Linked DNA regions of Struthio camelus. The protein of the gene in region 2 binds, or shares a complex with, the protein of the main gene of each other region. Links are inferred from orthologs where the notes say so. Each region holds a gene or a part of one and is shown on either strand. Other genes may lie near its edges.

Region 1 (7,667 bases), on a different chromosome or scaffold from region 2:
TCCCAGCCAGTTTTCTTGTCTGCAGCAGTACCACTAAAAAAGTTTGCTTTTTTTGTTCCAGAAATGCTCATAAGTTGTGACATGTTTTAGAATTCTTGTACTGAAAAGCAAAACAGGCTTGCTGAAGAGTGGCAGTTTCCACTGTGCCAGGCAGCTACCTTAAGTCACATGGCACATTAAGTTTAGACAGAACTTTCAGAAAAGTGATCCAACGTATTTAACAGCCAAAAACACAGGCTAGCATCAAATCATTCCCAATCCCCCAAGATCCTCCCAGTCAGAGCCTTCAAGCTGGAGCTGCATGTCTTCAGGCAGCGACTCTTGCAAAGTTGTATTACTTATGTGGCTGATGTATGCAGATTTGGGCTATGAGGATGCCATCAAAGTTACATTCAATGAGCAACATCCAAAACATCTTGAAAATCCCTTAGAGGAACTAGGTTGGAATCACAGCCTCTGCTCAGAATCATCACACTGAAGAGCACCCGCTAAACCAGGCTCCAGCAGAAATAATCCAGTACACACGTAGGAAGAGGGCTTTAGGTCATGGCATGCTTCTTACAAACCTAGTGCTTTCTTCCCCCAACACTACGAAAAAGGTTCAAAAGCTGCAGTTCACTTTCAAAATAAGTGACAATGTTTCACAAACCTCCAGTGGAGAACACAAACAGGGAGAGGGCTATCCTCCTCCTCTCCTTTCCTGCCTGACTCTGAGTGTCTCCTCCCTGAACAGGGGACAAAAACCATAGAGCTATCCTCATTAGAGTTAGACTAGAGCAACAGAGTAGCTGCAAGAACTATTCTGCAACACGTTTTCACACCCAGAAAGAAATGATTGGAGGGACAGGAGTAGTGAAGCATTTATATCCCAAGTCCTACGTGCAATTCCCTTAAAATTGTCAGCTCCTGCAGAAGATAGATTTTGCTACTATGTGGCAAAGCATCACTTCTAGTAGAAGTCTGGAGAGGAAGCATCGGAAAGAAAAAGTTGAAAACAGTTTTTTTGAGAAAACTAGCAGATAATGAGAAATAAGCCAAGAGTTTTGTTCATTCTAATCTACATGATTAATACAGAAGATACTTCATAAAACTCAGTCAGCTCCTGTTATACTAAGGACTTAATGAGTCAGGAGTCTTCTGTTTTCCCCATCCCCCAAAATAAGGAAAGCTGTAACAGTGGAAAAGCAGCATTAGTGCAGACCTGGTAGTCATTAAGAAAAAGCTTAACATAACAATTAGAAAACAGCTATTTAGCTACCTCTGGAGTGTCGATGTCTTGCACCGGTGAGTCACCATCATCATCACTGCCTTTCCTCTTCCTTCTATTTCTCACACTCTGAATTAAGTTTTTGTGGAAGTCACAAATATAAAGATGTCTTGCCTGAAAGAGTAATGCTGCATCTTTCAATCAAATACACACACGTATCTGCTCAACTTAAGATATAAATGCACATACAGAACCAACCCTTCAGCAATCACAGTCACGTTAACTGAGTTCAGGAAGCTTTTCTGCTCGATTTCACTAAATAAGGTATGTGTTACGCTACGGACGACTGCCACCCGCTTAGCCTAGAGAGCGGGGAAGTGCCGCAGCAGACTGATTCAGTAGTACCGGACTGCAGAGGCACATGAATCTCCACGGCCGCTCGTCAGCGCTCAGGCATCAGGCAACAAGAGTGATTCAGTCGTTCTTCTGAACGCCCCAAAGCGGGAGGACTTCAGCTCTCGTTTCCCATCTGTACTCCTTTGTTTCACTTCCACTGCCTACGCAAGGTCAAGCGGCACATACGCTTTCTTTTTTTCTTTTTTTTTTTTTGGATAAAGTTTCCTTCTGGAAGGACCCGTTCATTTCGAAAGCAGAGTTCTTACTTATGTGCAAAAACCGTTTTTTTCCAGAGCGGTGAGCGCCGACTTTAACCGGAATTAAGGACCTGAGCGGGGCTAGGTTTACAGGGTGACAGCGCAGCGCGGCCGTGAGGAGGGGGGGGGGGGCCGCGGGCGCAGCGCTCCGCGCCGCTGCGCAGCCTCGCCGGCAGCAAAACACGCGGCGGTGCGTTTTCAGCCGTTTTGCCTCGGGGCGCCGGGAAACACCTCGGCCGCCCCTACCCCGGGCCGGGCCGGGCGCCCCCAGCCCCGCGCTGCCCCGCGCAGCGCTGCGCGGCGGCGCCTGATGGCTGCCGAGCGGAAGACGCAGCGGCGAGAGGGCAGACGTGCAACGCGACGGCACGAGGCGGAGCAGCCAAGCGCTGCCCTCGCCAGAAGCAGGCGCGGACGGACACCGCGGGAAGCGCGGAGGGAGCGGGGCAGGGCGCGCAACCCCCCCCCCCCCGCCCCGCCGCGCAGCCCGCCAAGGGCGCTTGAAGGCTGAACTCGTGCGGCGCCAGCCAAACTCCACGGCGTGCCGAGGAAGGAGAGGGACGGACCGCACCGCTCCGGAAAAAAGGGGGGAAAAAAAACAAAAAGGGAGAAAACAAAAAGAAACGGAGCCGTGGAAAGGACGGGCGAGCCCCGCGCCCCTCCAGCCGGGCCGGGCGGCAGAAGGGCTGCGCTGGCCCGGGGCAGGGGCCCGCTCCCCCCTCCCCCGCCGCCCGACTTACGCTCTTGTCCAGCTCGATCTTCACTTTCTTCTGCGAGATGCTCTTCTGGATCCGCTTGCTGAAGCTGGCGTTGCCGGCGGCCCGGCCGCACCGCTCCCCCTCCTCGCGCAGGCAGCACAGCTGCCCGGCCCCGGGGCCGCCCGCCCCGCCGCCGCCACCCGCCCCGGCACCGGCACCGGCACCCGCGGCGGCCGGACCCAGCCCCGGCGGCGGCAGCGGCGGCGGCGGCACCTCCACGGCGGCGCCCGCATTGCCCACGACGGCGGCGACCAGGGCGGCGGGGTCTGCCCCTCGCTGCGCCGCCTCCTCCGGGGCGAACCCGTTCATGCCCGGCGCCAACTCCGCGGCGGGGGGACCCCGGCCCGCACCAAACTGCCGCGGCGGGAGCGGGAGCGCTGCCGCCCTCGGCCGCGGCACCGGGGCGCGACCCCTCCGGCCCCCCCCTTCACGGGCGGCGAGCCCGCGCGCTGCGGGCACGCACCTCGCCGCCGGCAGCCCCCGCCTGCCGCTCTCCGCCGAGCTACCGCGGCCCCGGCGCCCCGCGGGTCGCGCCGCTTCCTCCTTCCCCCTCTGTCATGTGGAGACTTTTCAGCTGTTTCCTATGTAACAACAGCAACCTGCCCGCGGCTCCGCCCCCTCCCCTGCGCATGCGCGCTCCCCCGCCGGTGTATGTGTATGTTTGTGTGGTGGTGGGTGGGGCGCGGCGGGAACTGTAGTCTCGCTCGCCGCCTCCCCCTCCGCGGCCGGCGGCGAGGGAAAACTACAGTTCCCGACATGCCCCGCGGGGGAGCCGGAGTGCCATTTTACGGCGCTGCGGACGCGGGAGAGGGGGGTTGGGGGTGGTTGTTGGCTGTTCTCCGCGCTGGCGGTGGGCGCCCGCTCGCCGCTGCGCTCCTTTTCCCCCGCCGCCAGGTGGCCGCGCCCGGCCCGGCCCGGCCCGGCCCGGCGGCAGCGGCCCAGATCTGCTTTTAAAAGGCCCTTGTTCGCCTCCCTCCTTTCCTCCGCCGAGGCCGCGTGCGGCCGTTGAGATTTGAAATGTGCGGGGCGGTGCGGCGGCGGGAGCGGGCGGCCGGGCCGGCCGCTGCGGCGTTTCCCCGGCTGGGGCGGAGGAGGGTGGCGTTTCTCTCTGAGGGGCAGAGATCGCCACTTTCACTTGCTGAGCCGAGTGCGTAAACGTACTTCAACCTCAAAAGGTTAAGACACCCTTGCTTCCTATTCGCTAACGTCTGTGTTTCTGCAGCGCCTTACTTCTTCGCTCTCTTCAGCGGTGCCTCGCCTTTCTTTTACTTTCTCTGGCTGTAACATTTCAGCCTAACTCGCATTTCCTTGGATGGTTTTCTTGCTTGGTTTTTCTAGTTTGTTTTGTTTTCTTTCTGCCGTACGTCTGTGCATATCTCGTTGCCTCTTTTCTTTTTCAGCCTTTTTCCAGTAACGGTCGGAGAACAGATCCCGTTGCCCTGGACTGAATGCAGAGTGCTTTCTGTCATGTGCGGTGTTGCCTTGCAACTGGGAGCTCTTTGAGAGCCTCTGTACAGCCTGTGGCTTTGAGTCTGTTGACTGAGAATAACTGACAGTAGTCCTTTATGTTAAAGCCGTTTTTAAAACGGCTGCAAGGGGAGCCTAGCCTTGCGATAACTTCATAAAGATCTCTTAAGCCAATGTACAGCGCAAGCTTCCAATTTTACTATTTAAACGGGCTTTTGGTGAATAAAGATGACTTTAGCAACAACAAACTAACACTGCGTTATCTTTTGCTAGTGATGAACTGGGACTTTGCTGTGTATAAGACCAGCTAAAATAGATATTGTGAAAATACTTGTTAAAAGCAAGTATTTTTAGTTTCAGGAATTTGCAAAACCACATGAGAGATGCATTAGCATTAAACCAATTGCTAGTGCTGCTGTTGGCTGCGGAGTGACAGAAGATGCAAACTTTTGATGCATTTTTCTTCATGTGCTTTCAAAGTATAGGCACTGAATGAATATTGAGTTTCGTTTTGCTTTCCTTTCAAACTGCCATGAATATTCCCTTAAATCTAAGAAATGGTATCTGAACTGACTGTACTCAAAGCATGATGATTTAATCACTCAAATATTCAACCATATCAGTTACCATGCATTTTCAGTTTGCAGAATCAGAAGAGTAATGGAGAAGTCAGTGAATGATTTGACAAGACACAGATCCCGTGTAAGCCAAAGTTCTAAGTGAGCCGGGGAACACGATTAGAACGCAGCTTCAGTTTGTGCTGCAGATGGCTTTTTAATCTGATTACATAACCTGGTATTATAGAATGTGGGTAGGTTCCCACTTACACTTCGAACAGTGTAATTGAATGAATGATACAGTAAGTAAAAAATTGAGCATAGAGTCACAGACAATAGAGAAGGCACATTTCAAAGATTCAGAGAGATTAGAGTTCAAAAAAAATCCAAAGCTCTGTTTTGTTATCAACTGAACAGAAGTCTAAATGAAGTATCTGGGTATAATCTGTATAATCTCAGACAACAGACATCTAATTCACTTTTTAAGTTTCCTATGATTTGACCCTTTTAACAGTTGCAATAATAAAATATTAAAAGAATGGTAGCAGGGCTTACCTAAGGAAAGTACAGGCTAGGAAAGCTGGAGCAAGGGTGAGTTCCAGGAATTCTTCAGTGGAAATCTGTGTCATGAATAGCAAAACCTGCAATTTTACACTATGTCTTTTGAGACCCATCTTTCTTTAGATTGTTTTCACCTTACTGTGAGCACAAAGCACACCAGGCTAGGTAAAGAGTGGTTGAGATTTGGCATAGTAGGTTTGGTTGGTGCAGTTTCATAAGATGGAACGATCAGTAGCGCATTTTAAATCTGTATTCCCAATTATCTTGGTATCATCTGTGAACAGTTAAAGACCTTATTACATTAATCAGCTATGCTGGCCAGTATGTTAAATTATAAGCTGAATTTCAAAATGAGTAGTGTCATAGTTTCATTATCATGATAAGGCAGTAGTAGGGCTGAGAAAGACAGTCCTCCTTCTGCCATAAGCCGCTCATTTTCACACCCAAGCCCTCCATGCCCTTCCTTGTGCCTGTAAAAGCATTTATACAGCTGCAGAGCAAACTGGATTGGGTTAAAACTAGCCCAGCAGAAAGAAAATCAGTTAAGTTTAAGCCTGATCTCCTTTACTGCTCAATTGCGTGATGTCTTAGCACAAAGGACGATCCAACAGAAGGGCAGGACTGCCTGACTAGCACCAGAACAGGGAAGGGCCACCTTCTTTGGTATCAATGCCAGCTTAAAATAATTCAGAAATCACGTCATTGCATTTTTTTATCCCACATACTGTACAAGGTTAACAAAGAGCTGCAGATAGGTGGGCTTATCAGGCAGAGTAAAAATTCCATCTACAGGATAGATTTTCCAAATTGCATAGTTAGGCCCTTTGGAATAAAACAATGTCATAGATGGATTCTGCTAGATTGCATTTTGTGCAAAAGTATGATTTTATAAAATTAAGCTCTGGCAGTGTTTAATAGAAGTATTTAGATATAACTATATTATATATATATGTACTGGGAGATTGTAAACAAATATCCCTATCAAAGTATGCATTATTGGAACAATATGTATTTAGAGCAAAAGTTTGAAAAACTAAGCTGATCGCATGGAAATGGCAGCTCCAAACTAGTAAATTTTTGTGTAAGACTTCACTAGCATTTATGTGCCATATTCACACGCAGAGTTGAAAATTAAGGCAGTAATAATCTATGTCATAGATGCCAAAAATGCATTATAGATAACTTAAGTGGCATGCAGAAGGAACAGGAGCTACAGTATCTTGAAAAGGGCATCTGTTCAAAGCAGCAGCTCCCAGGCTCCAAGTGCATGCAGCAGGACTCAGTGGCCCTTGCTGGCACAGAGGGGAGCCAGGCACCGGTGGGAAAGTGAGCAGCTTATGCCTCTTTGACTGCCGTCTGTCCCAGCTCCTGTTAGCTTTTGTGCTTAACTTGTAATTTGAGAACAAAAAATGATAAGCAGACACATCACTTTGGATAGATTGCTGGCACGCTGTAAATGTATTATGAGTAATCGTGGAAAGGAAATGTGTTTTGTAGCTATATATATATCTTAATACGATAAGGGTTCAATTAGAGGTGACTCTTCCCTTTAGGTACCCTTTAGGGACCATTCACTAGGAGTCCAGGTATACTTTACTGAGTGTTGTGCTGCACCTCAAATTATCCTGTTGGCAAATGTTTTAAAATAAAATCCTTAAAATGGTTTAACAATTCTGCACATTCCAACACATCCTGTGTTGGATGTATATGATTCAGGTAATACAGTAAGAGAGAAAATCATGCCATTAACCAAAATGGTTAAATTGGTGCACAACTGGTATTTCCTGGTCCTTCTGTATAATGCAGTTGAATCTGCTATTCCTTTTTAGTGTTCTACCCTGCAGTATGGAAATTAAGACAGTATGAAAGAGTTTATGTAACACATGCTTTTATTAAAAGATTTAAAGCAGTAAACAGGGTCCAAAAATAAACATCGTATTTTAAGAGTAATCTAGGTGTTACAGGATTAAAACTGATAAGCCCGTGTACTGTTAAAACCTTGGAAGATTTGTAATACATGCCCCTTCACTGTTCCAATTCAGTTCTGCAATAAGCCGTTACATTAGTTACAACAGCCTTCAACGGTGTTCTAACAAAAGGCTTCACTTTTGTGTGGAAAAAATACAGAAATGTTGATACAGAAATATTAATGTTCTTTATTGAATGTACATGCCAGCAACTATTTGTTGGGGGACTTCAACAATGAACTGTGACAAATACTTTTGCTTCATTAAGCAATAGTAAATGCAGCTTAAAGGATGTTTTCAAATTCAGCTGCACACAAGCAACCATAGCAGCCTACCATGAGCTCTGCACTAGATTTCAGTTATCTTTTTCCTTACAAGCTCCCATTCACCCAAGTTAACAGTGCACATCCACTGTTTTTAACAGTGAAGGGTTCAGAGTCACTGTTTCAATTTGGAATGTAGAGCGAAACATTTAACAAAACTCCCAGAGGTTTTGTTTT
Region 2 (7,780 bases):
ATGACTGTTGGCAACTGCTCTGGTCTGATGCACCACACTTGTTTTACTTAACCCTGGACCACCATTGCCAAAAAGTAGAACTACAATAGACTGCTGAAGGTTTGGTGTATCAAAAGCTGTTCAGAGTTAACAATAAATGCTTTACAGCATTTGAAAGTTTAGGATCCGAGGTAGCAGCTGCATGAACAAGCAAGCTTTAACTGCAACAGTTCCTAAAACATTGGCTGCCAAAATCAGAACTTGACTACCCGCTACAAACTCTTTCAATACCAATACAATTTTCCCTAAGCCAGTCATCAGAAAGAAAAAGACTTTAATTCCTATTATACAGTTCAGAATTACAAATCCTTCTGCAGCTGGACAGAAACGAGTGCATTTGAGGCTTTTTCTGCACCAGCCTGCTCTGGAAAATTCAAAGTTCATTCGCATGTGCTAGTGAAATAGTTTTGTGATGCAACTCGACAGTGTTTGCTAACCCGAGAACACTAACAAAGACTACCGAGCGCTGTAACTTCTACCAGCTTCTGAAATTGGAAAATACAGTATACAGAGAGGAGTCTTATTTACATCTGTGAAACGGACCATAACAACTCTATGCATTTTTAACGGTAAATGCCTACATACAGGTGGTCCTGCCGTTTAAAAGCTTTGCTGCAGATTCTACAGACGTGTTTCCGTTCCTGGCTATGAGTCAGGTAATGTTTGCTAAGAGAGCTGGCACTGCTGAACACCTTCCCACAGAGACTGCAATCCAGGAACGAGGTCTGAGGAGAGTTGTGCTGATGCTTTCCTTTCCTTGCAGTACCAGAACTGGATCTGCCTCCTTGTTCAACTTCCTTAGATCCTGAAAGTGTGGGAAGCCCCAGTTCTAAACAGAGGGAGAAAGTAATATCCTTAGGTTATGCCCAGTGCCATATCGAGTTACTCTTGTGACGACAAGCTTTTCACTTTATTCCTAATAAAAAAGTGTTTCTTTTCGTAATTCTGTTTGAGAACTCTGGTCCAAGGTTTTCGACAACTGATTATCTGCATAAAAATGAGATGAAAATCCTGTAAATCTGCTCCAACTATTATGATTTGCAGCTCTGCAAATACTTTATTTCTAGGGTTTCCATAAACAAATAAACTGATGTCCTACCCTCACACAGGCTCCGTAACACACTTGGCTGTTTCAAACCTCTTAACTGGACCAGCGATTGTAATGAATTTTACCAATTTTTTTCCCCTTTCCTGGGGGGAAAAAAAGAGGGAGAAAAAGAGATAATTCTGAACCATTTTGTTCAACTGAACAATACAGAATTTTATCTAAGGCTATCAGATGACTAACCGCCTGATAAACCAGGTACTTCCCGTTAGCTTGGACTTTGAGACAATTCAAGATTTCTTACCTATGAGTAAGAAAGGAGAGGGAGACCTATTACACCTTGCTACTACTAGCTTGTGAATCAATAAAAACATAGACCTCAGTCATTACGAGAAAATCTCATGTTCTCATTTGAGTGCTGTTAGCTATGGTTTTTGATTTGTGTTGTTTTCAAGTCACCTAAATTTTGTGTGCTCTTATATACATTAGCAATTAAGTTATCCATTCCCTCAAGAGGAGCGTTTCACTAAAGGCACTCTCCTTTTAACTTTTAATGGTAGACCTAGAAAAAGCCCATTTTGCTTAATCCATTTCACAGAGAATTTGAAATGCAAAAAGAATTAAACAGAATGTCTCTTCTCTGCTTCAGGGAAAGCTAGTAATATAGATGTTAACAACATATTTAGCAAATCTGTCATTTTAATGCCTCCAAATTTTCCATTTCCAGCTGGAGAGCAGGTTGCAAGGACTTCTGAAGAAAACATATTCCTATCTAGGGTATAATTTTAAGAAAATAGGACAGAAGTGAAATTCCTGTGAAAGAGAAGTATTATAATAATAATTATCTTCTACAGCATTATCAATTTGAATAGCATTTTACAGGTAAAAGGCAACAAGAAACATTTGTGAAGTGCTTACATGACAAGAACCTAAAACTGATTTAAAAAAAAAAACATACCTGCTACTTCGACCCCCTCAAAATTTCCATGACATAGACTCTTCCTTCTATATAAAACTACTAAATAGCTCTGGCTGCTTTGATCTGTAAGATACCCCTCAAAATAACAGTGAAAGCAAAGTCCAGTGTACTCACCACGCAAAGAAGGCTGTGAGTCAGAGTCAGACTCTTCAAGGAGTTTAACAGAATCACAGTCCTTCACTGAATACAAGGAGAGTCCATTTAAATTGGCCTCCAAAGTATCACTGGCCATATCTGCAGCTGAAAGGCCTGGAACCATATCTAAGCCGCTCAGGCCTGCATACGTCATGTCTTTTGTATTTAGACACAAATCGTGGTTGAGAGTGTCACTGCAGTTCAGCCCCTGACTTTCTGAAAATCCAGGGAGATGCATCTCCGAATGAATGGTGATCTCGTCGCTGAAGTGGTACTGGTCCATGCCCGCCACCAACCCTGGTGACCAGTTAGAGGATGTGCTCTGGTTTCCACCTAGAGCAAAACTGGGGGTGTGAGGACAGCAGTAAAAGGTCTCCTAAACAAAAGACAAAAAGGGTAAGTTAAACAACAGAGATGATCTGACGTTACTTACCAAAACCATAACCAAGACTGGAACGGGTGTATCAGCCCATACACACACCATACCTTACCAGAGAAGAAACCAGAAGTATCCTGGCTCCTGTTTCAAACACAAGCACAGGCTGCTGCCTCTGTCAGGACAGAGAAGAGCTGCTGAGACCCTGGGGCAGGTTTGGAGGGCTGGGAAGAACCTCTTAACCAAAGGTGGAGGGGTGCAAGGGGGTCTGCACAGGGGAAAAGGGTGGAAACTTCACATCCTGGAAGAGGCTGAGGGGCTGCAAGAGGACTGAGGTGCAGTTGGGTAATGAAGGCAACTTTCCTGAAGGATAGGAGAGAAGGAAGAAAGTGCAGCCCCAGGGCCAGGGTTGGGGGGGGAAGGGGGCCAGGGGGGTCTCCCTCAGGGAAACGCCGCTCCCGGCCTCGCAGCGGGCCCCAGGCACACCCCACGGCTGGGATATGGGGCCGGGGGGAGTCTCTCCCTCAGGGAAACGCCGCTCCCGGCCTCGCAGCGGGTCCCGGGCACACCCCATGGCTTGGATATGGGGCCGGGGGGGGTCTCTCCCTCAGGGAAACGCCGCTCCCGGCCTCGCAGCGGGTCCCGGGCACACCCCACGGCTGGGATTTGGGGCTGGGGGGGGTCTCTCCCTCAGGGAAACACCGCTCCCAGCCTGGCAGCGGGCCCCGGGCACACCCCACGGCTGGGATTTGGGGCTGGGGGGGGTCTCTCCCTCAGGGAAATGACACTCCCAGCCTCGCAGCGGGTCCCGGGCACACCCCATGGCTTGGATATGGGGCCGGGGGGGGTCTCTCCCTCAGGGAAACACCACTCCCGGCCTCGCAGCGGGCCCCGGGCACACCCCACGGCTGGGATTTGGGGCTGGGGGGGTCTCTCCCTCAGGGAAACGACACTCCCAGCCTCGCAGCGGGTCCCGGGCACAGCCCACATCTGGGATTTGGGGCTGGGGGGGTCTCTCCCTCAGGGAAACGACACTCCCAGCCTCGCAGCGGGTCCCGGGCACAGCCCACATCTGGGATTTGGGGCCGGGGGGGGGTCTCTCCCTCAGGGAAACACCGCTCCCGGCCTCGCAGCGGGTCCCGGGCACACCCCACAGCTGGGATTTGGGGCTGGGGGGTTCTCTCCCTCAGGGAAACGCCGCTCCCGGCCTCGCAGCGGGTCCCGGGCACACCCCACGGCTGGGATTTGGGGCCGGGGGGGGTCTATCCCTCAGGGAAACACCGCTCCCGGCCTCGCAGCGGGTCCCGGGCACACCCCACAGCTGGGATTTGGGGCTGGGGGGATCTCTCCCTCAGGGAAACACCGCTCCCGGCCTCGCAGCGGGTCCCGGGCACACCCCACGGCTGGGATTTGGGGCTGGGGGGGTCTCTCCCTCAGGGAAACGACGCTCCCGGCCTCACAGCGGGTCCCGGGCACAGCCCACGGCTGGGATTTGGGGCTGGGGGGTCTCTCCCTCAGGGAAACGCCGCTCCCGGCCTCGCAGCGGGCCCCGGGCACACCCCACAGCTGGGATTTGGGAGTCTCTCCCGGGGGGAGAAGGGAGTTGGGGGCCGCCCCGAGGCCGGAGATGGGGGTGCTGGGCGGCGGGGGGGGGGGGAAGCGACCCCTCCTCCCCCCCCGCCCCCCGCGCGGCCGCTTTACCGGTCGCCTCGCGCCCGGACCCTTCCCGCCCGCCCGCCGCGGGCGCATGCGCGCGCCGCCCGTCGCGCCTCGTGCCGCCGCCCCGCGGCTGCGCGCGCGGTCACGTGACGGGGGGGAGGGGCGCGGGTTGGGCGGGAAAAGGCGGGCGGGAGGGAAGGGGGTGGGCGGCGGCGGCGCCATCTTGGGGAGGGGGGAAGAAATGGGTGGGTAGCGGGGAAGAAAACAGGCGGCGTGTGAAAGGGGGGGATGATGATGATGGGGGTGCAGTCTGTGGGGAGAGTTAAGGGGAATTGGTGTCTGCGTGGGAGGGAGGGGGGTGGGGGGGGGGGGAGGAGATTTGAAGGGGCGTGAGGTGTCTGTGAGAGAGGTGGAAGGGGCCTTGGTGGATGGTGAGTGGAGCAGGTGATGTGCCAAAGCCAGAGCGTGAGGGGAGCGGGAGGTGGTAGAAGGGGCAGGTTTGAGGGAAGGGAGTTGTGAGCGCAAAGGGGGACGTAGGGGTTGGGGGTGGTGGGTTCAGGAGGAGAGTTTGGGGAAGGGGCTCAGCAGCGTTGTAAGAGAGCTGTGGGGTAAAGCGCTGGGAAAGTAAACAAGGGGGAAAAGGAATGTAAGCGTATGCAGGCTTAAGGGAAAAGCAGAAAGTGGAGAATAGCGAGCAGGAGTGAAGATGGGGCTAGCAAGTGGGCATAGGGGGATGTGCCGACTGTCATGGGAAAGTTGTTAAACTAAACTTCCTTGTGCCTTAAATGCCTTCCTAAGCCAAGGCTTCACAAAACAGACCAAAAAAATCCAGTAAAACGTGGTGGTTGTAAGGCTGTTAATCCATTTACAGCTGCTGCACAGTGCGCATGTAGAAGAGCTCGGTGTTTCTGGGCAATATCTGATTTTGGCATGTGTGCTGTTTGTGGTAATCTGCATGGGCTTATTATGAGTGCTAGCAGTATGTAGGTACAATTTCACAGTTGGCCTTTGGAAAAACTGTTTGTTGAACTTAATTACTCCTGTGTAAAATGGGAATAATACTTCACGGGATAGCTGTTATTAAGAGATGGCTGAAAAATACCAAGAAATCCTGAGTTCAACATAAGAAAAGATACAATTATTGCAACTCATTAAGACCTCTTTAAGCTTTATCTCTAAGCTGCTTTCGATCCCGTTTCTTTTTTTCTCTGTTTCTCTAATGTTAAGATTTTGAAGAAGAGAGCTAGGTTTAATTTGGGTAGGATATCCTTCTGTCCCATAGTGTGTTCTAGGCCATTACTGCTCCCTTAATAGAAATAATGCTCTAACTTTACCAGTGAAAAAGCTCTGTTATCAGTATCACAGGCTTGGTCTGGCTGACAAAGCAGTCATCTAGAGCCTCCTGAATCATAGTAAAGTAATTCAGAAGTGGAAGAAAAATCAACTGAAAGTAAGTAGACTACACTGTTTTAAACTGGAATGGTACTGCAGCAACTACTGCTACTGCAGTCTAGTGGTTAAAGCAGGAATGGGCTACAGTGATATTAACAAACCTTTAAGGGTTCAGTCCTTGGTATTATTGCATTAAAAATAGTATGTAATTGTATTAGTCATCAGCAGTATATTTTAAGCAAGCTTAAATACCGGTGCTTGGTTTTTTGTTTTTTTTTTTATTACTCTGCTTTGTGTTTGGTTTGACAAACTTATCTTGAGAGTGAATTTTCAGGTCCGTATCAGTATAGAAAGAGCAATTAACTAGTACACTGCATGACGTGACTAAGATTTGAATCTATTTCTTACAATAGGCCAAGTTTTTACTTGGAATAGATTGGTGCATTTGCTGTATTCGTGGCCCTGTTACGTTTCACTCTACTAAAGGATCTGGCCTAATGTTAAGAAAGTAACAAGAGGCCGTCATCCTAGGGAGGGCTTCGTGGCCTGAAGAGTGCTGAACTGCACAATTCGGGAGGCTGAGGAGGGTTTGCTGCTTTGCCACAGTGCATCATTTGAGCTCCCCATGATAAAAGTTCCCTGTGGCTTCCTCTCGTACTTAACTGTATTGGCCGTGCTGTAAAAGTTTTTTGAGATCAGCTGACAAAAAGTGATGTCTAAGGGCAGCGTATTTGTATGTGAATAATTCTGTGGAAGTTAAAGGGTTTATCTAACTTGCCTCATTTTCTTTACTTTTGAACAGTGAAATTTAAAGACTAAATTTTCGTGCTGTATGTGAGGTACACCAAACTGAAGTCATCAAAGTCGCATCCATTTACTATAGCAGTGAATTTGACCCTTGCTTATTCAGAATAGCAGGATATAACTGTGGGGAAGCAATCTGTTACTCTAGTAAAGGTTGCCTAAAGTGTATAGGAAAGAAAAAAAATGGTTGTAGAATTAGCATAATAAGATTTAAAGATCTCTTACAATATTATTAACACTTCCCACTTGGAAATAAACCGTGTGCTTTAAGAGATCTGTTGATAGCAACATAGTTCAAACTAGCCTCTCTCTTTGAACAATCTTGTCCCATGGGTTACTCTAATTATCACTTACTGTGGCTTTCTGCCAAGATTTTTTTAGACATGGCAGACTCCACTGTATTTTTCCAGCGCTCTGGAATGGTATGGCGCAGCTAAAAGACAGAAAATATTCAAGTGTAAATGTGCCTTGTGTTACTTTAACATGTTTATAAGCGATATTCTTTATGGCGATTGGAATGTGATTATAGAGGGAGAGGTTTTTCATCTCCTTTTCCACACCTACTCCAATTATTTCGAGTTCCGAACTACTTTAGGAACCATTGCGTTGCCCTCTGTACTTCGTTAATGGCTCCTGATTAGGTTAGCTTTCAGCAGTTATCTGACAGGCTCATAGCAAGGCCACTTACAACCAGGAAATAATAATGATGATGCTGCCACTGAAGTGGCGGCGGCTGCCGCCGCTTCAAACTGCGGTCTCCTTCCTCTGTTAAACTGTCACTGCGCTCGGTTAGCACTGCACTTTTATAGTGTAATGCACCAAAATAAACCCCTCCATAGTCCCACCCAGGTATAAACAGAATGTATATCTAATTCAAATTCAACCAATCAAAGGGTATAAACAAAGTAGAAAGCCCTGCCTCTAGATTATTAATTACTCACACTGGTCAATCACATTTAACCTGTCTAATCAGGATGCAGGGTAATGCATCTGGCCCTTCCCATTTCTCTCTGAGCTGCTCCACTTTTGGCCAATCGGGAGCGGTGTCTCTTCCTCCGGCAGAACCAGTTTATAATTGGTATGTTGAGGACCCTTGGTTGAGCTGTGCTTTGTGCTGCCTGAGCACAGAGCCAGTTTAAGATTGTGCCTGAAAATGCACCAGCACTGAGCGTAGTCAGCACGTAAAATTAGTAATACTAATAAAAAAGATTGCTTGAGCATGAGCTTTCAGCATAGCTAGCTTCCCTGCCACCCAAGACAGTCTTAGGTTTTCTTGGCTGCTATGTCTTCACGATCAGTTATAAAAGTATGCTATTTTAAGTGCATAATATGTTGACATGACTTGCATTTT
Region 3 (7,937 bases), on a different chromosome or scaffold from region 2:
TCCCACAGCAGGTGGGGCTCTGCTGACGGAAGCAAAGAGGAGGAGAGGGTGAGCCCAGCAGTGTTGGCCAACCGATACCTTTGGTCCATCCCTTCTCACGGGCTCAGAGACTTTGAGCTTCCACCTGAGGGGAAGGAAAATGAAATAAGAACGGATCCCAGAGGCACCAACTCACAGAACACCGCAAGCACCTAGCAGCAGGGAGCTGAGCTCCACCCCCTCCCAGCTCCATTTGCATTCACACCTTCTATTTCTCTCCAGTGCCCAGCTCTGGATCCTCATCCGTGCTGCACATTCTCTTCTCCCCAGCTGCCAACATCCCACCTCTACCTGTGTCATATACTGCTCACCCTGAATAGTCCATCTGGACCCTTCTGCCCCTTTGGGCCTTGCTTTCCAGAGGGTCTTCTACACTCCCTGCTTCATTCCCCACCCTCTCCAAGCGCAGGCTCTAAGTCAGAACCCATACTCACGCAGCCATGCCCGAGACCCCACGATCATTTGCCAGGCTCTGTCCTGGAGGCCGACCCTTTCTCTGCAAGAAAGATATCCTTGAGCTACTCATTTGTGTAGGCTGAGGGTACTCTTTCGGTTATCCTCTGCTGGGAAAATTGCTCTTTTTACCACGAGCAAAGTGCTGGCTAGCCCTAGAGTAAGGACCTCTAAGGCATTACAAAAGCTGCATCTGCATGCACTTATTTTCTGGGAAGGATGAGGAAGAGGCTTCCCATAACATAAAAGCATTTTTGTGGAAAACCCTACCTTTTTGGGAACAGGGCTTCCTCGCCGATTCAACTCCTCATCCATCTGTCTGGCACGCTGGCAAAGGAACGGCAGGAAGTGAACAGCAGCCCTTCTCCCTGTCTAGTCAGAACCCCCACCCACCCTGTCAGCTACTCTCTTATCTGCCGCACTTGGGGCACAGAGCACAAGTGCACAGGGAACGCTGAAGCCAACCCATCTCGGTATGAAGCACGTAGTTGCAATAAGCAACAGCGCATGGGACTTTTGTTGCTCTGTACCCCCTCCCTCCTAGCCCAACATCTCCCAGTTCTACCCCCTCATTAGAGCAACTGATGGACAACCAGATATCAGGGAGAGATCTATCCTGCAGCTTTTAAAGGACAACACTGTACCCCCCACTTACATATTGATTCTGTAATTCAACAGATAAGGAACAGGCAGAAAACAAAGCAACTCAAAACCCTCCTCTTATTTCTTCCAGCTCTTAAAGTCATTTAAGACTACAGGAACAATAACAACTTTTACCTTTGGTACCGCCTGCTCATGGGGCAACCTTGGGATCACCTTTTTGCCATCAGAGAAAAGCAGCTTGGCCTGTAAGAAGAGAAAGGATTATCTGATTCTGGGTCCAGAGAGGGACTGCCAGCTACCCCTGCCTTTCCCTATGAAAGGGGCTCATGTGTGCAAAGACACTCGCGCTGGAGAGAGAGCCCCAGGCCAGGTAAACTTTAAAGGCCATAGCTAATGACTCAGATGCCCAGTAGACCACAAGGGCTGGTCACTGCAGACCCCAGAGATTCAAGTGTATCTGGCCAGAAGCCCTATATCAGCTCTGGTTGCAGAGTGATTCTAAAGCGCAGTGCTGTTCACAGACAGTGAGATGCAAGAGCACGATCAAGTCAGGATGACCGGCACAAAAGTAAGATCTGAAAGAAGAAGATCACAGTCTTGTTGGAGGAACCTTCAACGGGTACCAGGGAACTAGAGTCACTGTGAAAGCTCCCTGCTGTCAGCTGTGTGCAACAAGCATGGACAGAGCATCAGTGGGAAGCAGCAGTTCATTGAGAGCTACCCAACCCCGACTACTCTCCTTTTCGACAGGGAAAAAGAAGTCGAGCACAGTATCCACGGAAGGACTGTGGACGCCCTCCTCTGGCTATTCTGCAAGACTGTGAGGAGGAACATGCCCTACCGCAGGCTGCTCTGCACAGCCAGCCAAGCAAATAGTAGTCTGCCGCTGCTGGACATACCAGGCTGCCCCGGGTGTGCAGGGCCCTTGGCTATGGTGCCCACCTGTTCTAGGCAACTCCGGCACGTCTCCTGGATGAGCTGCTCTGGGTCCACCTCCTCCCCGACATTATCACGCACATTGATTGCTGCTTTCTGGAAAAACTGGTGAAGAGGCAGCAGGAGAAGGTTAGAGCCTGACCAGCAAGGCAACATCGGGGCAAGCACATGGTGCACTTGTGCTCTCACACTGCACCCGCGTGCCAGCGGCCAGGCTGGCACAGGACAGGCGTGACCGCCTCACACAGCCACCCAGGAGCCAAGCTCCTCCTGCAGGGCCCACAGCGGGACAGGGTGGCACGAGGCACTGCCCCGGCAGCTCTCACCTTCATGTACTTGTTGAAGACGCCTCGGATTTCCTCATTGATGCTGGGCTGCAGGACGGCTCGCAGCAGCTCCATGGACACGACTGGGTCTGTGAAGCTGAAGGTGCAGAGATCAGGTGGGTGGCACAGACCCCCTCCCCCAGTCTGGTCTAATCCAGACCCTCTCCTCCAGGCCAGTCCAGCTGCCCCCTCCCAGCCTGGCCCAGTCCGGTCCTCCCACTGCCGCAGTCTCCCCTCTCGATCCTCCAGGTCCACCCGGCCCGGTCTCCCCCCACCCCCTCCGTATCAGGTCCAGTCGGGACCCCTCCCCTCCCCGGTCCCGCTCCCCATCGGCTCCGTCCGGCCAGCCCGGCCCGGCCCGTGCCCCCCAGCGCAGCGCGGCCCGGCCCGGCCCGGCCCGCCGCCGTTACCTGGTGGTCATCTGGGAGCGGCGGCCGCGCCGCTGCACCTGCCGGTGCTTGATCATGATGTTCCAGGGGCTCTGCGGGAAGAGGCGCGTCAGCCCCGGCCCCGCCGGCCCCCCGCCGGCCCGGCCCCCCGCCGGCCCCCGCCTCACCGTGCTGACCAGCTGCTCCTCGGCGCCGCCCGGGCCCTCCTCGCCCGGCGGGCCCGGCTGCTGCTCCGCGTCGCGGGCGGCCCCCATGGCGGCCGCGGCCGCAGCCCCAGCCCCGGCCCCGGCCCCGGCCCGCCGCCCTCGCGCCCGGAAGCGGCCGCCGCGCGCCGGCGTCATCGCGCCGCGCCGCCCGCCGGAAGCGCCCGGCTGCCATGGCAACGGCGGGCCCGGCCCGGGCCGGCCGGGGCGGGGGGGTGTGGGCGGCCCTCGGCGGGGCAGGAGGCTCGTGGGGGTGACGGGGGGGTGTGAGGTGACAGGGGGTGTGTGGGGTGACGAGGGGTGTGAGGGTGACGGGGGTGTGAGGGTGACGGGCGAGTTTGGGGGTGACAGCAATGTGGGGGTGTGGGGGGTGGCGGGGTGTGAGGCTGATGGAGGGTTTGGGGGTGACAGGAGTGTGGGGATGACAGGGGTGTGTAGAAGTGTGTGGGTGTATTTGGGGGGTGTACTGGTGGTGTATGTACTTGGGGGTTGTGCTGGTGGTGTGTGTATTTGGAGGGGTGTGCTGGTGGTGCGGGTGTATTTGTCGGGTGTGCTGGTGGTGTGGGTGTATTTGGGGGTTGTGCTGCTGGTGTGGGTGTATTGGGGGGTGTGCTGCTGGTGTGGGTGTATTGGGTGTGCTGGTGGTGTGGGTGTATTTGGGGGTTGTGCTGGTGTGTGTATTTGGGGGGTGTGCTGGTAGTGTGTGTATTTGGGGGTTGTGCTGGTGGTGTGGGTGTATTGGGGGTTGTGCTGGTGGTGTGGGTGTATTTGGGGGTTGTGCTGGTGGTGAGGGTGTATTGGGTGCGCTGGTGGTGTGGGTGTATTTGGGGGTTGTGCTGGTGGTGTGTGTATTTGGGGGTTGTGCTGGTGGTGTGGGTGTATTTGGGGGTTGTGCTGGTGGTGTGTGTATTTGGGGGGTGTGCTGGTAGTGTGTGTATTTGGGGTGTGTGCTGGTGGTGTGGGTGTATTTGGGGGTTGTGCTGGTGGTGTGGGTGTATTGGGTGTGCTGGTGGTGTGGGTGTATTTGGGGGTTGTGCTGGTAGTGTGTGTATTTGGGGGTTGTGCTGGTAGTGTGGGTGTATTGGTGTGCTGGTGGTGTGTGTGTATTTGGGGGTTGTGCTGGTGGTGTGGGTGTATTTGGGGGTTGTGCTGGTGGTGTGGGTGTATTGGGTGTGCTGGTGGTGTGGGTGTATTTGGGGGTTGTGCTGGTAGTGTGTGTATTTGGGGGGTGTGCTGGTAGTGTGTGTATTTGGGGGTTGTGCTGGTGGTGTGGGTGTATTGGTGTGCTGGTGGTGTGGGTGTATTTGGGGGTTGTGCTGGTGGTGTGTGTATTTGGGGGTTGTGCTGGTGGTGAGGGTGTATTGGGTGCGCTGGTGGTGTGGGTGTATTTGGGGGTTGTGCTGGTGGTGTGTGTATTTGGGGGTTGTGCTGGTGGTGTGGGTGTATTTGGGGGTTGTGCTGGTGGTGTGTGTATTTGGGGGGTGTGCTGGTAGTGTGTGTATTTGGGGGGTGTGCTGGTGGTGTGGGTGTATTTGGGGGTTGTGCTGGTGGTGTGGGTGTATTTGGGGGTTGTGCTGGTAGTGTGTGTATTTGGGGGTTGTGCTGGTGGTGTGGGTGTATTGGGGGTTGTGCTGGTGGTGTGGGTGTGCTGATGGTGGGCCCGTGGGGGTGCAGGGCATACGGGTGCATCGCTGCGGGAGGGCGGTGTGATGGGGCGGGTGCGGGGGTGCGGCGGCGTGGGGAAGGTTTCCGACGCGGTAAGGTAGGCGCTAGTGGAGCAACGGCCTCCTTCCTGCCAGCTCCTGCGTGGTTTGGTGTAGGGGAAATAACGGGAACCAATAAACGTGCTTGCCGTTTCCTGTTTGGTGTCAGCTTGGGTGTCAAAGCGTTAAACTCTCTGTATGTCCCGCAGCGCAGGTGCTCGGCGTAGCTGTGAAGAGCTGCACAGCTGTTTGTATCGCCTCGCGTAGGAGGCAGCACAGCAAAGTGTGTGTAAATAATCTAAGAGAATGGAAGTAGACTGAAATTGCAGTTGTAAATTTAAGACATCCACGCTTATTTCCCTCTGTGCTTGCAGGTGCATTTTTTCCTCATGGTTTATTTTACACATTACCTATTGGTATGCATATTCCCTCTCAAAAAAGTATGTAAATACCAGGTAATGTAAAAATTTATAGCAAGAAAAGAATCCCCAGTTGTTCAAAAGTACAGCTGTCATGGATGAATTTGTAGTGATGGACTGACTGTCAGCTCTCAAAAATAATCAGAAGTCTTAAAGCTTAAAAAAAAAACTTTTCCACCAAAATTGGAAATATTGAGACCTTCCTCAGACTGAAATCGGTAGCACACTAATCTTACCTACGGTACCAAAATAATTACAGTTATAGAAATGTAAATATTTGTTCTTTTATTGTCTGTAAATATTTTTGTTGTCTGATCTAGTATACCTGAAATACAAAAATAAAGTTGTTGCAGTTCCAATCTTAATAAGCTGTGTGTCTCTTTGCTGCAAGCCTCTCAGGATTCCTGAATCTCATTGTGTGGCTTAGGAAATATAGGAAATATTTGAAGCCAGTGTTCCTTAAATTTAACGTGTCAGCTTGATCAGTTACAACGTCTAGAATATTCAAAATGATTTGTCCATTGTTCATTAGACCTTTTTACCCTTGTACATTGGTTAACGTGAAGCTTTTTCTGTTGGGTCAGGTGGATGAAAATTTAAGAGGCAGATTTGCTGTTTTGTTGGTAAAATTTGTTACTTCCAAAAAGATTATAAGATAAAAACCGGCGAATTGGGTTTGCCAAAATGCGTTGTGTTAGGGCAGTTCGGTGTCTCTTGTTCAAAGAGTAACTAATCTAAAGGATGATGGAGATAATACTCGATGAGTATAGAGAGTGTGTTCAAGCAGTCATTTTCAGTATATCACCAAGTGTTTGTCCGTAGTGACCTAGGCGTACCTGATTGTGTCTCAGCGTAAGAGAGGAAACAAGATCATCTTTTGACGTTTCTTTCAGCGTTATAACACGTCAACTTACGAGTGTGATCCCCTTAGTATGCTTGGTTTGAATCGTCCATTGTAACTGTCGGTGTAGTGCTAAATAGCACTTGGCACCTTTGTGAGATCAGGACTTGCTGGTTAGTGTTTATTGCTGAGGAGGGAGGCTATGTGGCTCATCTTCTGTTCGTGTAGTACAAGAGACTCCTGCTTTTGTGGCCTCTTTCCTGCTACTTTAACTGTGGCTGCATTGACCGTGAATGAGATCAGGCTGTTATATAAATTAAACCTGTGGACATGTGGCCATTGAAGTCATCGTTAGTGTTGCCATGGCTTCATTTTCATCAGTGTTGGAATTTTTATGGGCAATTTTGGTTGTTCCCAATCATTAGGAATTTTATTTCCACAATATATGACTATATGAAGAAATTCTATTCTTCCTGAGTACCTAATAACTCAGTTGTTGCCGTTTCATTGATTTTGTTTTCTTTTCCGTGATAAATCAACAGAAGTGGATTTGTAGAGGAAGAGGAGAGGATACTGGCTGTACACGAATCTGATTGGAGTTGTCCTCAAACATTTGCGAACGAAATAGACTAGTAGTTGCTGCAGTGTGAAAGGAAGAAATATAATGCCTTGGGGAATGTGAGTGGGACTTGAAGACTCGTGTGCTGTAAGGACATGCTCAGTTACCAGTAATATGTTCTCCATCACAGATGTGACTTTGTTCCTTGTCCTCTAGTGGTGTATTGTGTTGTGTGTCTGAGTTAAAAGAGCAGCTTTCATTTCTGCACCAAATCCCACTTGAACAGGAAACTCAAGAGGGCTCAGGGTCTCCTGTTGCTGCAGACTGCTCAGATCATGCAGTTTTTGCATTTGGGTGAGTCCTCATTAAGCATTTACCCATTTGGTTTACTTATTTCTCTTTTTTAGGTCAGCACCCAGCCTGAGGAGGCTGGGAACAAAGGAGGGACAGGCTATGTCTCTCAGTAAGTCAAATTTCTGGCAATGCCATTGCTATAGTATCAGCAAAAATCATTTGACTGCTAGCGAAGCATGTTCTTGGCTTTAAGTTCCATGGGGTAAATTATTAATCATCTGAATAGCTGTAAACCTTGGAGGAGACTGGAATTCTTTCTTAAAAGCAAACCAAAGGAGAAAATCTCCTTGAATACATATCTTTGTTAGTATTGTTTTCTGTATTAATTATATTCGGGGAGTACTCGTAATCTTGCAAACCTGTGTTCAAAAACTGGCCATCTACATCTGTTTAAAGTGAGGTTCTACAAAATGAGATCCAGGCCTGAGAGTTTGCCCTGAATCCGGTGTTATTCAGTGTGAGTGCTAGTAATTAGGAGAAGAAAATCACTTTTGCAGCTATGAAGAGAGGAGTAAATGGCTACCTGATGGCACAGCAGAGAGATGGTGGTGCTATGGATCGTGAAACGAATGGGAGGCAACAACATGTTGCTGTGGCAAAAACAGGCAGAAGATGTTTTGAGGCACAGCATTATAGGTAAGGCATGTGAGATAAATATTTTATAGATCTCTGAACTTCAGATGGGGAACTGCGTCTGGCTTGGAGGACACACTTAAGTGAGGACATACACAAAACTGGACATTGCCCAGAGGAGAGTGAAAATGAAAATAGATATAAAAACTTAGGGAGAAAGCTTAAAAGAATGCTTTTGTTTAACCTAGATAGAGCTAGATGAAGAGGGGACGTAACAGCAGGATTCATTTCTGAAAGCTTGTTGCAGACAGGACAGTAGTCAATTGCTCTTCGTATCCACCTATGAAAGGACAAGAAATAGTTGTATTAATTTGAATCAAGCAAGATTTACATTACCTGTGGAAAAAAGCTTTCTTATTAAAAGAACAGTAAAATATTGGAACAAATTCTCAATAAAGGAGTCCCTGTCTTTGGGGAGATAGGCATATCTTTTTATGAGCAGGTCAAAACAATATCTATCAGAGATGACCTAAATATAT

What was found.
Region 1: ZNF541 (region 2) and SAP30 share a complex: the UniProt entries of both Homo sapiens proteins name them as parts of the histone deacetylase complex. The link is inferred for Struthio camelus from reciprocal best matches to the Homo sapiens genes ZNF541 and SAP30.
Region 3: ZNF541 (region 2) and DNTTIP1 share a complex: the UniProt entries of both Homo sapiens proteins name them as parts of the histone deacetylase complex. The link is inferred for Struthio camelus from reciprocal best matches to the Homo sapiens genes ZNF541 and DNTTIP1.

What each region holds. Positions count from the first base shown.
Region 1 is NC_090945.1:46,426,108-46,433,774, reverse strand, and holds the start of SAP30 (histone deacetylase complex subunit SAP30), read right to left. Parts: upstream 3,037-7,667; 5' UTR 2,925-3,036; coding exon 2,598-2,924; intron 1,382-2,597; coding exon 1,259-1,381; intron 1-1,258. UniProt on the Homo sapiens protein: Involved in the functional recruitment of the Sin3-histone deacetylase complex (HDAC) to a specific subset of N-CoR corepressor complexes. Capable of transcription repression by N-CoR.
Region 2 is NC_090957.1:856,807-864,586, reverse strand, and holds the start of ZNF541 (zinc finger protein 541), read right to left. Parts: upstream 3,073-7,780; 5' UTR 2,685-3,072; intron 2,575-2,684; 5' UTR 2,482-2,574; coding exon 2,178-2,481; intron 869-2,177; coding exon 625-868; intron 1-624. UniProt on the Homo sapiens protein: Transcription regulator which is essential for male fertility and for the completion of meiotic prophase in spermatocytes.
Region 3 is NC_090959.1:19,293,237-19,301,173, reverse strand, and holds the start of DNTTIP1 (deoxynucleotidyltransferase terminal-interacting protein 1), read right to left. Parts: upstream 3,054-7,937; 5' UTR 3,001-3,053; coding exon 2,914-3,000; intron 2,839-2,913; coding exon 2,768-2,838; exon of another isoform or gene 2,740-2,767; intron 2,507-2,739; exon of another isoform or gene 2,455-2,506; coding exon 2,358-2,454; intron 2,137-2,357; coding exon 2,038-2,136; intron 1,339-2,037; coding exon 1,270-1,338; intron 820-1,269; coding exon 763-819; intron 536-762; coding exon 474-535; intron 125-473; coding exon 79-124; intron 1-78. UniProt on the Homo sapiens protein: Increases DNTT terminal deoxynucleotidyltransferase activity (in vitro). Also acts as a transcriptional regulator, binding to the consensus sequence 5'-GNTGCATG-3' following an AT-tract.